Pelodiscus sinensis: one gene and its partner. The protein of the gene in region 1 purifies or fractionates together with the protein of each later gene. This does not show direct contact. Links are inferred from orthologs where the notes say so. Each region holds a gene or a part of one and is shown on either strand. Other genes may lie near its edges.

What was found.
Region 2: the proteins of CHCHD4 (region 1) and torsin-1A-interacting protein 1 purify together in Homo sapiens (co-immunoprecipitation; 3 studies listed by BioGRID and IntAct, with this or other methods). This does not show direct contact. The link is inferred for Pelodiscus sinensis from reciprocal best matches to the Homo sapiens genes CHCHD4 and TOR1AIP1.

Annotation. Positions count from the first base shown.
Region 1 is NC_134721.1:22,075,558-22,083,342, reverse strand, and holds the start of CHCHD4 (mitochondrial intermembrane space import and assembly protein 40), read right to left. Parts: upstream 3,021-7,785; 5' UTR 2,883-3,020; coding exon 2,861-2,882; intron 1-2,860. Other genes in the region: TMEM43 (transmembrane protein 43), read left to right, coding at 3,509-3,520, 4,643-4,792, 7,098-7,232.
Region 2 is NC_134719.1:59,452,187-59,459,379, forward strand, and holds the start of torsin-1A-interacting protein 1, read right to left. Parts: upstream 3,006-7,193; 5' UTR 2,796-3,005; coding exon 2,720-2,795; intron 5-2,719; coding exon 1-4. UniProt on the Homo sapiens protein: Required for nuclear membrane integrity. Induces TOR1A and TOR1B ATPase activity and is required for their location on the nuclear membrane. Binds to A- and B-type lamins. Possible role in membrane attachment and assembly of the nuclear lamina.

The DNA.
Region 1 (7,785 bases):
CTCTCTTTTGTTTGGTGCCATATTAATTAATATTCATTTCAATGTGTCCAGGACATATAAGCTAAATATGTGAAGCCTCTCTCTAGCAATTCTATGCTATTTCAAACACTGTAGAATGCATCACTGCAAACTCTCCCTCTAAAGCAAACTTTGCAGCACAAATAATACTGGAACAAATTATTAATCAATTTTTAAGCATCTTCAGGATAACTGTGTTATAAGAAATAGCCAGCATGGATTTTTTTCAGGAACAGATCATGCCAAAACAACCTAATTTCCTTCCTTAATTGGTCTAATGAATACCGGGTGAAGAAGTATCTGTGATGCATATGGCCCTACCAGATTCCTGATGGTGAAAAACATCACAGACTGTGAAATCTGATCTCATCCATGAAACCAGACTAGTGCAGGGAAGTTGCAGTATTGCCATCCTTACTTCTGCGCTGTCTTTAGAGCTGGGCAGCTAGAGAGTAGTGGTTGCTGGCCAGCATTGAGCTCTGAAGACAGTGGTGCCACCAGCACCAGTACAGAAGTGAATGTGGCATGCTCTGAGGAGGGGCGTCACTTCTGAAGGTGATGATAGAACTGGCCTTGTGGGTGGGCAACATGGTCATCCTCCTCCCCTCTACCACATACAGCCAGCTCTAGGGCCCTTTGACCCCTGAGTGTTGGGAAGGAGCAGAATTGGGGTGCTCTGGTTCCAGCAGCTAGCCTTGGATGGGCTGTAAGGAATGAGACTTCCTCTTCCCCTGCATGGGCCATTCCTGGGGCTGGATCAGACCCACCTCCATCAGTACCACAGAAGCAAGGGATGCAATACTGTACCATGCCATGCTTACTCCTGCATTGCTGCTGTCAGTGGTGTTGCCTTCAGAACTGGGCACCCATCCAGCAGCTGCCATTTCCAGCCACCACTCTCTGAAGGCAGCACTGCTGCCAGCAACAGTTCAGAGGTAAAGGTGGGAATACTGTGGCCCTCCTACAATAGCCTGCCTACACATGCACATACTTTGTGTCAGGACCCCTAAAGTTATAACATTGTGAAATTTCCGATTTAAAATGTCTGATAACATGAAATATAAGAATTTTAAAATGCTATGATTTGGTAGGGTCCATGGGCTATAGTTAGACTTCAGTAATACTTTTGACACAATCCCACCTGAAATTCTCATAAGTAAACAAGTAAAATGTGGTCTAGATGAAATTACACTAAAGTTACTGCACAACTAGTTGAAAGATTGTTATAAAAAAGTAGTCAAATTGGGAGGGCATTTCTAGCAGTGTCTTGAAGGGGTTGGACCTAGATTCAGAACAATTCATTATTTTCATTAATGTCTTGGATAATGGAGTGGATTGCATGCTTATAATATCTACATATGACACCAAACTGTGAGGGATTACAAGCTTTTGGAAGGGCACAATTAAAAACCAAAATGACCATGACAAATTGGAGAATCCAGAGGAGGTCAACAAAAAATGATAAAAGGTTTAGAATACCTGGCCTATGAGAAAAGGTTAAAAAACAATGGGCATGGTAAGTCTTGAAAAAATAAGATTGAAGGGGGGAACCTGATAACAGTCTTCAAATATGTTCATGGCTGTTATATGCTCATGCTCAATTGTTCTCCATGTCTCCTGAAGCCAGAACAAGAAATAACAGGATTCATTAGCAGCAAGGGAGATTTAGGTTAGATATTTCTAACTGCAAGGGTAGTTAAACTCTGGATTAAGTTTTCAAGGGCAGTTATGGAATCTCTATCACTGAAAGTTTTTAAAATCAGGTTGGTCAAACACCAGTCAGGGATGATTTTGACTGACTTGGTCCTGTCACAGAACAAGATCTTGACTTGGTGACATTGAGGTTCCTCTAGCACTACAGTCTATGATTTAGGTCTCGTAATTAGCTGTGTTATTAACAAGGAGTGCCTAAACTCTAATCCTAGCTATTATAATTAACAATATAATATAATTGTCTTGATAATGATGCTATACCAGTTTATACAGGGCCTGTATCACACTCCAAGACATTTTTTTTTAAAATGCCAAAATAATATGTAGAGGGGTTTGAATCCTAAAATGCGTAAGACAGGTTGGTGGAAAGCTTCAGAATTCACTCAAGACCCATAAAACACCATGCAGATGAGCCCTTATGGTTTAACATGTCCTGAGGATAATGTTCTTACTTAACTCCAGCTATAAACTGGTTTATGATACACAGCACAAGGGTTTTAATTACTAACAGGGCTGCATCTCTATTGCTATTCTACATTCTAGCAGAACTGCTTCTTTTTACCATGTGTATGCGTGTCTCGTCCCTACTGAGGCTAAGAGTTTCATAGGAACGAAATGACATTTCGTGCCAGTCAGTTCCACATACTGTGCGGTCAACTCATTATTATATCACAAACCTCATGATATTTTTTTTGATCTGAGGAAGTGGGTCTGGCCCACGAAAGCTCATCAGCTAATAAACCATCTTGTGAGTCTTTGAAGTGCTGCATAGTCCTGCATTTTGCTCATGATATTTGGTGTCTTTCTTAACACCGCACCTGCTAGAATGAGGCGACTCAACGTCGTTGTCACAAGAGACGCCCCTCGCTGCCATGCTCGAGAAGGGTAAAAGCACGAAGACGGGACACGCGCGAACCCTCAAGGCCAAGCCGGGCGGCGGAGTCCAGGTTGCGTAACCCCGCGAGGCTAGCGGGCGCTCTGCAGGGCGTCGCCTGTCCCCACCGCCCCAGGCCTCCCCCGCCGCCACTAGCCCGCAGCCCCCACCGGCCCGGCCCCACCTGCCCAGAGCCCTTCCCCTCACCCAGGCGCCCGGACCCCCTCAGGGCCGGCCCCTCCCCCTGCCGCGCACCTTCTTGCCTGCAGTAGGACATGGTGAGGGATGGGCTGGTCTCTCCGCAGCTCCGGCCCGCGGCGACTGACCTGACTGACCCCGCCAGCGACCCGTCCGTACCCGCCAGCCCCTGAAGCAGCAGCAGCAGCCGGCGCGCGCCACACTGCGACCTCTCACCCTGCACCCGGAAGGACCCCGGGAGGAGGGGGCTGCCCCCTGCCGCGCCTGATTGAGAGCCGGATGGCTGGGAAGCGGGGTCCCTCTACCGGTCGCCGCCCAGCGCGAGGAGCCGCAGAGAGCGGGAGCTTTAGGGGTCACCTTTCTGCCTATCCCAGCGTGCTTTGCGTTTTGCCGCGCTTCCTTCGGAAACAGTCCTTCGTCGCGTCCTGAAGAGAGCGAGCGGCTGTCAGAGCTCGGATTCGCTAGGGCAGCGGCGCGGACTACATTTCCCAGCATGCCCCACAGCGGGCAAGCTGGGAAACTACATTTCCCGGCATGCTCCCACAGAGACAAAACCAGAAACTACATTTCCCAGCATGCCTCGCCCTGGGGAGTTGCTGCTCTGGGCCAGGGTGTTCAGTGCAACAGCGTGGCCTTTGGGCGGCAACTTTCTAGCGGCTACGCTCGGGGTTTGTACCTGCTGCCTTAGCCTGGCTGCGGCTGAACATGTCCGGGCATGTAAGTGTGAGAGCCCCGCACCCAGCCTGCTACCGTCCTGCAGCGCTGCGACCCCGCTCCCGGATCGCCCCTGCCCGCTGCTTGCTTCTCCCTCCCGGGCAGGGCGCTCCTCGCCTGCTCCCTCTCCCGTGTTGGCTCTCACCCGGGTAGATGCCTCTTGAGGCTCCGGGAAGCCCGTGTGGCTCTTAAGGGGCAGTTGCATGTAGGGTATAAACATTGTCTGGAGCCAATGCCCAGATTGGAACAGAAAGGGGTGGGAGATGGTCACTCCCTTCTTATTTTCTAAAAAAAACCCAGCTCTGTAAATCTTGTTTAGCTCCCCAAGGCAATTCCAAGACTGTTCCTTGTTATTCCCCGCCGCCAAAATAAGCACCTACTGCGTTTTCCACTTCAATAGTATCTCGCTTTCAGTCGCAAGACAGCACTACGGTAATGTTTGTTTATATCAATGGTTCTTAAGCTGGAGTGCACGCACCCACTGGGGGTGCGAGACGCCTTTTCTGGGGGTGCGAGACATGCCAGATTTGTATGATGAATCTTAGGTTTAAAACTGACCTACTTCAACGATTTTTAATAGGGGGTGCAAGAACATTTTGAGAAGCAAAGGGGTGCAGGCTGCAGTAAGGTTAAGAACCACTGGTTTATATCCAATCAGCCAAAGCCATTTATTGCCCAGGATGCTTCATAAGGGAGACATAGCACTTTATTTTTTGAAAAATGTTGTCAATTATTTCATAGGACTATAAAATATCACAGTAAAGTGCTCCATTTTTATATGGTAGGGGTACCAGAAATATAATTTAGCCTGCCAAAGACCAAATATAGGATATTGACACAAAATGAGAAACCTAGCAAAGCATATCTCTGGAAAGTTTAAAAAATATGCTGGACTATTACAGTGTAAATTATCTCATCCAGTAAACCTCAGTTCATTTACAGTTGGGTTTTTTGTATAAATAATTATAAGCAATAAAAGTGAGATGAGACATGTTTAACTGGGAGAGAGATCAGGTTTGCTTCAATTCAGGAGACGTAACTTTTTAACAGTGGGCCCTGATGAGTGGCAGAGCAATTTCTGCCTGAGCTACGAAGTTATTTCATGTTTGCTTTTTTCTTTACCAGTTCTCTGACATAAGTGGCAAGAAAGAACATGTTAAAATCACAAGTGAGCCCAAGCCAGGGTTTCTGGAGCGACTCAGTGAAACTTCTGGAGGGATGCTAATTGGGCTCTCAGCATTTTGTCTCTCTTTTTACCTTCTTTTTACCAATGAGGTAAGTGAAACACTATTAACCTTTGAATTTCTATTAACCTTTGAATTTCTTTTCAAGTGTATGTTCGCCTTTATGCCCAAAGTTCAGTGCTCTTCAAGATAAAAGTCTTCTTCCTAAATATTTGTATCATCATGTTGCTGAACCTATTCCAGGTTTCATCTAGAACTGAGTGGAGAGTACTGATAGGATATATCTGAATAAGATGAGATCCATTGGCAGTGGAGTGGATTGATTGGGAAGTGGTGAGAAAAATGGGTTAACAGCAGTTGAAAAATGTGATTAGAAGTTTAGGATTAAACAAAGACTGAATGGCTAGCCAGCTACAAAAGCAGTTTCTCCTCCCTTGGTGATCACACCTCCACATCAGCTGCAAAAAGGGGGCCTCATCCTCCCTGACTGAATTGACCTCTTTATCTCTAACCTTACTCTTGATTGGAACTTTTGTCTTTTGCCTGTATATTTATACCTGCCTCTGGAATTTCCACTACATGCATCTGATGAAGTGGGTCTTTGCCATGAAAGCTTATGCTCCAATCAATCTGTTGGTCTATAAGGTGCCACAGGACTTCTCGTTGTTTTTGCAGATTCAGACTAACACGTCTACCCCTCTGGTGATTGGAAGTGTTTGTATGGACTTGCATGCGTCTTATGTGCTAGTGCACCTCATTTGTGTCTGTAAATTCTGCTTCTTGCTGCACAGCAGAGACAGTTGTAATAAGGATGGAGCTGAAACACAGAATGAATCACTATTGAATATGGGAATCATAGGTTGTCTGGCTGACTTGTTTCACTGGTCTCAGAAAACAGCTTATCAATGAGCAGAGGTTTTTACACTGTCATTGCATCCTCATTCTCTTGGTATATTGCAAGGCAGATAAATTATCTTAAAGTTATTTAATGCATTAGGTCAAACTGTCTCTTTTAGTTCATTCCTAGGATGATCTTGGGTCCTGATCCTGCAAACATGTATGTTCTCAACGTTACTACTTTGAAGAGTCCCATTAAAATCTACAGAACTACTTGTAATAGTAAAGTTAAGTGCATGCATAAGAGTTTGTGGGATTGAGGCTGTAATCTGTTATCCTGGTGGTATTTCTAGTTAAAGCTGGTTGGAACATTTGGGGTGGGAGCAGAATTTTGTGAAATTTAATTTCAGATTTTCATCAGTTTTCTGACCATTGCTATTTAGATGAAAGAAGGAAACGGTTCACAGGTTTAGGAGATTGTTTCTTGTCCTACAATCTGAAGATAAGGGGGAAAATTGTTAGACTAAATCAGAACAGTCAGACAGTGGAACAAGTTCACAATGGTGCCACCTCAGTGCAGTTACTCAAAAACAACAGGTAAGATACAAAGTGTGAAGGAATAATTTCAGGGGCTTAGCCTGCAACTTCGATGTGCCTGTAACGTCCATTAAAGTCAGCGTGATTATTACATGTATTGCACTCTCATGCTGGTATGAATCAGGAGCAGTTCTACCTACTTAGGGATGTTAAGTGTTTATTTTTGTAAACGTGTAACTGACATTTACAGCAGTTACATGTTTACATGGGAGTGGGGTAGGTGGGAGCTGGTGCTCATAGGAAGCTGGCTTTTAAGCTGGTTTCCCTGGAAACACCATTTCTCACCTGCCCCTCTTCCCCCCCCCCCCTATATCAGAGGCAAAAGTGCAGGAAGGCAGTCAGCTCCATGGGAACTGGTACTTACCTCCCCCTCACCTCATGCTGTTGCCTCTGGGAGGCAGCAATGCAGGGGAGGAGGCAGCTCCCTGGAAGCTGGTACACAAGGGGAGTTGTCTTAAAAGCTGGCTCCCTTGCCCCTTTCCCTCCACCTCTGATATGGAGGCAGTAGTGGTGGGGGGAGAGGGAGGGCTGTGTATGTAACTGTTAGGATTAATTGTGTAAACACATACATGTTCACATCTCTAGTTCTATTTGCTTCAGTAGAACTACCTATGCGAGTGGTGTGGTTTTTTTTAAGCGTGCCACCTGTTTTTGCTAGCCTGATTACTCCCACGAGTAAGAGATTGTGGGATAATCCCTGTGCACATGAGTAGATCCATTAAGGTCAGTGTTCTTAATTTCACAAATAAGTACTACTCTCTAAAGTATCGGACATAAAATTGTGACAGATGGGAAGTGCAGATGTGTTCTTAGGTTTTGCCTATTGCATATAACCTACTAGCACTTCATGGAAGCTGTGCCCCATCTGGTATTAAACTAACAAAGTGGCACTGTTGGTACCTCCACATGTGTGGGTTTTTTTTTTTTTAATTTTGTTTTGTCTCTTTTTTAATTGACTACAGGGACGAGCCTTGAAGACAGCCACTTCCCTCGATGAGGGGCTTTCTCTTGTAGTCTCTCTTGACAATATTTTCAGCATGTCTCAACAGAATGAGGGAAAACTAGTGCACTTGTCAGGTGCCCTTAAAACATCAAAGGTAATTAAACAATAGTTGGTTTGAAAATAATGCGTGAACTAAAAGGAGGGAAAACTCTTCACTGGCAAATTGAAACTGTACACGCTTGATATAAAATATTATTGTGGGCTGTAAATCTCCCATCCAAAAATGTTCCTCCCCTTTCTTATGGTGTATGTTTGGAATCCAGCTGTGCATTTGTGAAGACACCAAGTGCTGAAGCTGTACATCTTCTGCGTGTTCGAGAGATAGTGATGCTCTTCATAGTTAATTTTTTTTGCAAGAGAGCGTGTGATGCAATAGTGGCCAGAAGTGTGAGCCAATTACTTAACTTTCTCAGATTCTTCAGTTTGAGTTCACCTGTAAGCAGATAGAGTGGTGTATACCCTGTCTTTTAAGGTTTATACATCCTATCCATCACTGAGATGTCTCTGTGACTTCATGGAATTTCACACTTTTGACCATGCTAAATATATCTCATTAACAAAATGGAGATAGGTTTTTGTCACATGTGATTTTGGAAAGCTTAACGTGCATGAAATTCTTCAAGATCCTCAGATGAAAAGTTATGCAG
Region 2 (7,193 bases), on another chromosome or scaffold:
GATGCTTCAAAACATACATAGAAAAAAAAAAGCATTTTAGAAACAAGCCAGTAAAATAGTGTGCACATATCAATAAAAACAAGTGTCAGGAAATTCATTTGTTATTCAGTTTATAAAAGCACTAGTAAAATCACTCCTACAACCACATGAACGAATTATCAAATATTCAAATGCACAAGCTTTATAATTCAACTGAAGCTTTTTTGTTTAATTTAAAAGTGTAAGGATAGGAGAAGAAATAGATACCAGAAAGGAAGAGGAATGGAAGTAAAAATAAAAGTAGAAGATATACCCCTTCTAAATAGCAATGGTAAGTTCAAGCCAGGTCACCCTAGATTGGTGACCTGGTATTCTGCCTTGGTTGCTGTAATCAGAACTGGGTTTTGCCCATGAAAGCTTATGATACTATCTATCTATATATTTGTGTTAGTCTCTAAGGTGCCACAGGACTATTCGGGGCTTTTTTAAAGTTACAGACTAACAAGGCTACCCCTCTGAGACCTTGTGCGCCAGAAACTAAACTAAACAAACAAAAAAAAACCCTACAAAAAAGTCTCCACCCATTATGGTTGCACAGAGAACACTGAAATTGTGAGCTAGCTGAAAAGAGACCCAATGAAGCTTGGCAAACTCAGCAAAGAGAGTGAAACAACGCTTCAAAGAGGTGTGAAATGCCTCTCTGTCAACGTGAAGAGCTTTGCAGGAGAGCAAGTACAGAGTAGCCCCTTCTCCTGCACCACTCAAGAACTCTGTAGAAGCAGGAAGTTATACAGCACTTCACATTTCTGTGGAAGTAAGGCAGGCCTGCATACCCGTTACCACAGCTATAGAGTAAAGCTAAATGCCATGCTTCCAATTTACTATGAAATACTACTAGAGCAAGATTTGGTCTTTGGTGCATAGTGAATAAAGCAAGAGTGAAATTCAACCGACAGCATACAAGCAACTTCATCTGTGTCATTCCCATTTTTAGGGGATTCATTTTAAAAATACATTAAAGCTGTATAGTAATCCCTCATTTAACACTATAGATGTGTTTCTGAAAATGTTCAGGCTAAGAGAAAACGTGCTATGCGGGGTAAATTTTCCCATTAAAAATAATGTAAAAGGTGGAGGTTGCATTTCAGGCAGTGGTGGCAAAGTCAATTTTTTGTTAGTGCTGGGTCGTCAACATTAGATATCTAGCAACACAAGTCACTGTGGTTTGTTAAAACACAAAGATAGACAGACACATGAGTGAGCAGAGAAGCGCTGTGACCACGTGTATTCATCCGTTCATGCATATTACCAGGGCTCGCCAAGCGGCGGTGAACCCCCCTCACCAGCTGTGCTGAGCGGCGTACTGCGCGGGCTTGTAATCTACTTGCCACAGGCAAGTAGATTACACTAATTGTCGAGCCCTGCGTATTATCACTGTTTTCACCAACTTATACCGCAGCGTGAAGTAGTCTGCCACTTGATTATTATCCTGTTATTTCGAGGACGGTTGTGTTATTTGAAAAACATTCCCTAAAAAAAATCGTGCTATTGCAAAAACGTGTAAAGTGGGCACATGTTAAATGAGTAAGTACTGTATGGAAGCTAATGCGTATCAGCTATTTGATAAATACAATTCACTGGTCTATTTGTAACTGACTTTAGACACAAAATTATGTTGGGGCAAGACAACTAAGACTAGGGGTTCCCAACATTTTGGGGCTGCCGGGCGCCTGGGGGCAGGGCCGCTTACGTGCTGCGCTTACGGGGGCGGGGTTGCTCACAGGCCACGTGCCTGGGGGCGGGGCCAAGCATGCGCCGCACGCTCCAGGCCGGCACCAGCATGTGCCGTGACCCCGGGCAGGGGCTGCCCAGGTGCTGTGTGCCTGGGGCCAGTACTGGCATGTGCTGCGACCCCGGGCAGGGGTCACCCATGCGCCCGGGGCTGACACCTGCCGCACGCCCAGGGCGGGGCCAGCCCAGATTGCTCCGCAAGTGCACATAAATGGCCCGGCGGGCGCCATGGCGCCCACGGGCTCCGCGTTGGGGCCCACTGAAGACGAACGTGGCACAATGCACAACTTAACCGGCTCCATGTAGATTCCTTAACGATTTTTATAGACAATCGAGTGGGAAAATGCTCAGCACGACGCCCGGGCTGACTGAGCTCGGGCCACATCTCTTCCCTGCCTGCTCAACAGTAACACGTGGAATAGCAACCCGGGCTGCGCCCACGAACGCTCGCGACCCCTCCCCACGCTCGGGGAGTCTGCACAGAGCTGCCGGAGCCCGGGGGGCTGTTTCCAGTTGAGGTGAACAGGCGCCACCCGCTGCCCGCGCGGACGCAGCAGGGAGCGGAAGGGAACGAAGCGGGGCGCAAAACAAAGCCGCTGTCAGGCCGCTTTCCAGAGCCGCCCGGCCCCGGCCCCTCAGAGGCTAATTTGCCTAAACCCGAGGTGCCTGCTGGTCAGATGGGCCGGTCACATGGTAGAGCCCGGGCGCCCCCTCGGCCCCCCCGCCCGCCTCAGCTGGCAACGGTCTCAAGGGAACCGTTTAACGGCCAGGAGAAGCCGGGCGCGGGGCAAGGAAACCCCCCCGGCGATGGCCCCGCCCCGCAGCGGGGGGCAGAGCGCGGCAGCTCCCCCAAGGGGGGCTCGGCCACCCCTCGTCGGGGTCCCCCCTCCCCTGCGCCCTCAAGCAGAGGGCGCGTCGCGGGATCAGCAACGGCTCCTCAGTCACTCACGTTCCGAGGCCTCGGCGCCCCGCCGCCTGGGCTCCGGCTCCTTGGCCCCGGCCGCGGCTCTTCGTCGCGTCTGCATCTCGGCGGTGGCTGCCCGGAGCTCAGGCGCGAGACGGCTCTCGGCGCGTTCTCCCGCCGCGCGGAACGCCTCCCCCGCCGGCCGCGTTTCCGTCCGGACACGCCCTTGCTCTTCCGGGGCGGAAGCCGCTGCCGTCGCAACTAGGTGATTGGCTTCGCTTTCCTGAAAGCCTCACTTCCTGTCGGCCATGTTGAAGGGCGGAAGTCTGCGGGGAGGGCCGCTTCTCTTGCAGGGCTTTTCCCGCGAGCCCTCCCCGCTGGACTGGAAGTCACGTGATACAGCACCGTGTCACAGCTGCGCTCGCTCTTTGCTTAGCTCTCAGCCCCTGTTCTGCCCCGCAGCTGTCAACAGCTGGGGCTGGTCCCCGCCCCCTATCGCCCCCTCTACCCCCTCCCCGCTATCCTCCCTTCCCGGCCGATTTCTGTCCCCGCCCCCCCATTCCCCTTTTCCCCCCTCTCCCTTCCCCTTTCTGTCCCTGCCCCCCATCCGCCCTTTTCCCCCTCTCTCTCCCCCTTTCTGTCCCTGCTCCCTCTATCCCCACTTTTCCCCTCCCCCGCTTTGTCCCCACCCCCTTTATCCCCTCTCCCTCCCCCCTTTCTGTCCCCGCCCCCTCTCCCTCCCCCCTTTCTGGCCCCCGCCCCCTCTATCCCCCCTTTCTCCCCTCTCCCTCCCTCGCTTTCTGTCCCCTTCTCCCACAGAGCAGGGGCTGGCACTGTCCCCTTTCCCGTGGACTTGCCTTAGCCCCATTCTCCAGGCGGCAGGGGCAAAGCGAGGGGCGAGGAGTTTGCGCAGTGGGGTAGGGGGCTGAGAGCTAGTGAAGCAAAGTGTAAACCCTGGATGGGATGAAAACCACTTCAGGCCCTGGGAGGTGCACCAACGCCCTTAGTTCCAGCACCAATTGAAAAGGGACACTGGGAGCTGCTGCCCCAGTGATTTCTGGGGAGGTGGAAGCAGGATAGCTCCTTGCCCTAAGAGTTTGCAGCACTCTAGCCTCTGAAATAGGTTTTAAAACGGGCTCCTCCAGTCCCAGCAGTGCTGCTGGAGGCTCTTGGCCAACAGGGCCCCCCACATGTAGCTTTGGAAAGTCTAGCACTTATGATAGTTGGGGGCAGGGAGATGGTTCTGGGAAGCTTCTCAGTTGGTCCCCATAGTTTGTTTTAAACAAGCTTGGGAGGAATGGGCTATGAAAGTGACTAGCAACAAAAGTGAAATTGACCTGTCTCCACATGGCCCTTTGAGAGAAATGGAAAAGCTACAGCCACAAGCAGGGAGAAGGCAATGAGACAGGCAAAGGACTGGGAGTCCAGAGTGCTTTTGTCATAGCTTTTCTGCCTGTACTTGAACAAGCGGTTTCACACACACTAAACCCAACTCACATGAGAAGCCCCATTAAAGTCAATGGAGCTACTCACATATATGTAGCAACTTCTACATATAAGCATTTTTTGGGTTGGTGCCTAGGAGTACTTCAATTTTGCCATAAAATGGGATTAACGAAATATCTACCTGTGGGGGTTGATGCGATTGCAAATCACTAATATGTTGTGCAAAAGAGTTATGAGATTAAAAACAATGAAATTAACATAAATGTATATATTGTTTTTCCTAAGATTGTCAATTGGTTAAAAATGTAATTGTGATTAATTATGTTGTTAATAATAGAAAACCATTTATTTAGCTTCAGAGGGGTAGCTGAGTTAGTCTGTAACTGGAAAAACTTTAAAAAAACCAATCAGCCTACCAGCACCTTAAAGACTAACAAAACATGTAGATGGTATGAGCTTTTGTGGGTACAACAGCAGAAGTGGGTTGTACCAACGAAAACTCATGATATCATCTACATGTTTTGTTAGTCTTTAAGGTGCTGCTAAACTATTGGTTGTTTTTTAAGTTTACCATTTATTTAAATACTTGTGGATGTTATCTTCATTTGCAAATATACTGCTCTCAATTACAACATAGAATACAAAGTGAATACAAAGTGTTCACTTTATTAAAATATTTGCACTGTAAAAAAACAAAATAAATAGTATTTTTCATTCAACTGATACAAGTACCGTAGTGCAATCTCTTTATCGTGGGGGTTTAACTTACCAAGATAGAATTATGTACAAAAAGTAACAGCATTCAAAAATAAAATAATATGAAACCTTGTTATCAAGCAGAATCCATCATAAGCATGGAAGGAGGTCCTCTGAAATAAGAAGCTGGTAGCAGTATCTCCCATAGATGTAAAAAAACTTGCTTTTCTTTGCGTTAGTTCTACCTCTTGTTCAACCTAAATGAATCTGTAGGCTCTAAAGTTTTACATTGTTTTGTTTTTGAGTGCAGTTATGCAACAAAACAATCTACATTTTTAAATTACACTTTCATGATAAAGAGATTGCACTACAGTGCTTGTATGAGGTGAATTGAAAAATACTATTATCATTTTTAGAGTGCCAATGATAGTAATCAAATGTAACCATATAAAGTGAGCACTGCACGCTTTGTATTCTGTGTCATAATACAAATCAATATATCTGAAAATTTAAAAAAGCATCCAAAATATTTAATACATTTCATGTGGTAGTCTGTTGTTTAACAGTGTGATTAAGCACAATTAATTTTTAATTGTGATTAATTTTGAGTTAATTGTGTGAGTTATCTATGATTAATCAACAGTTCTAATTATTCCTTTCCTGTAACAAATAGTATGGAAGTTTGATTTTTATAAATACAATTTTTAATGACACACAGCACCCAGGGTGGTTTACAAGTACAGCATATAATGTTATCTGGGATCAATCTGGATACAAGATATGATGTAAATTCAAGATCATCAGAGCTATCTCATCCATAGAATGGTTGGGGTGGCCCCGAGCCCTGCATTTTGGGGAACCCTATGATGTCAGGGCAGCCTCGGTGATTACCCAGGGGTTCTGGGACAGTAGCAGGGTCGGGCCCAGCCCCGTACTCACCAGGGAGCGTGGGAGCCACAGGAAGCGAAGCAGTCCAGCCTCAGCACGCTCTGCTTCGCCATCTCCTAGGCGGAAGTAGGTGCCAGAGTCCTAACCTCCTCCAGTCTCCTGAGCAACAGGGCTTGAAGCTGGGCTCGGGGGCTGTGTCTGCACTGGCCACTTATTCCGGAAAATCAGTCGCTTTTCCGGAATAACTTGCCAGCTGTCTACACTGGCCCCTTGAATTTCCAGAAAAGCACTGACGATCTACTGTAAAATCATCAGTGCTTTTCTGGAAAAACTATGCTGCTCCTGTTCGGGCAAAAGTCCTTTTCCGGAAAACTGTTCCAGAAAAGGGCCAGTCTAGACAGCACAGTAGTGTTTTCCGCAAAAAAGCCTCGATCGCAAAAATGACGATCGGGGCTTTTTTGTGGAAAAGCGCGTCTAGATTGGCCACGGACGCTTTTCCGGAAAAAGTGCTTTTCCAGAAAAGCATCCTGCCAATGTAGACACGCTTTTTCCGGAAATACTTAAAACGGAAAACTGTTCCGTTTTAAGCATTTCCGGAAAAGGGTGCTAGTGAAGACGTAGCCAGGGAGTAGAGCAGGCTAGGGCCAGGTTATTCTGCTTCCCACCACCACAGGAGTACAAGGGGGGTAATGGCCCCCCAGTAATTCCCCAGGCCATGTTGCTTGGGAGGAGGCAGTGTTGGTTCAGGCAGAGGTGGGGGAGGAGTGGAGCAGGGACGAGGGTTGGAGTGGGGACGGAGGCAGGGGCAGAGGCAGGGCTGGCCTTACTATGAGGCGAACTGAGGCGGCTGCCTCAGGTGCCAGACTGGGGGGGGGGGGGGGGGGCGCCACTAGAACCCAAAGTGTAGAAAATTGTGTCTGCTGCTGGTGCAGATGTATTCTCTCTACTCTAGATGCACAGAGATGGTGAAGTGATGTGCTGGAGGAAGGAGGGCACAAGAGACAACAGGCAGGCAGGAGAAAAGGGGGCATCATTTGAACTCCCCGCCGCAGTTGCCAAAATGTAGTGGGCTGGCCCTGTGGGGGGAGGAGAGGGTGTTGTTCCAGGCTCCACAACCACCTAAGGAGGGTGCTGACGATCATTATTAGATTTATTTTTCTCATATAGATTTGAGCAAATACAGCACACAACGTATATACAAATGATTTAGGCAAGGCTGATTTAACTATAAAATGAAGAGGTCCTAAAGGGTTTTTATTTTACTAAACCTGGGAGGGACTGGGGGAAGGGAGGAAGACAGCACCTCATTCCTACAGCAAAGTCCATCTTATTTAGGCTGATGCCTTTTTTTTCATCCTGGAACATTGTAAATTATTTAAGGAGACACGGACATGCTCTGAGCACTTCGTAAGAATGTGGGACAACAACTTTTCTCACTTCCTAGCCTCTCTACCTCTCAAGTCTGATGTTTATTAAAGAAGAAAAAAAT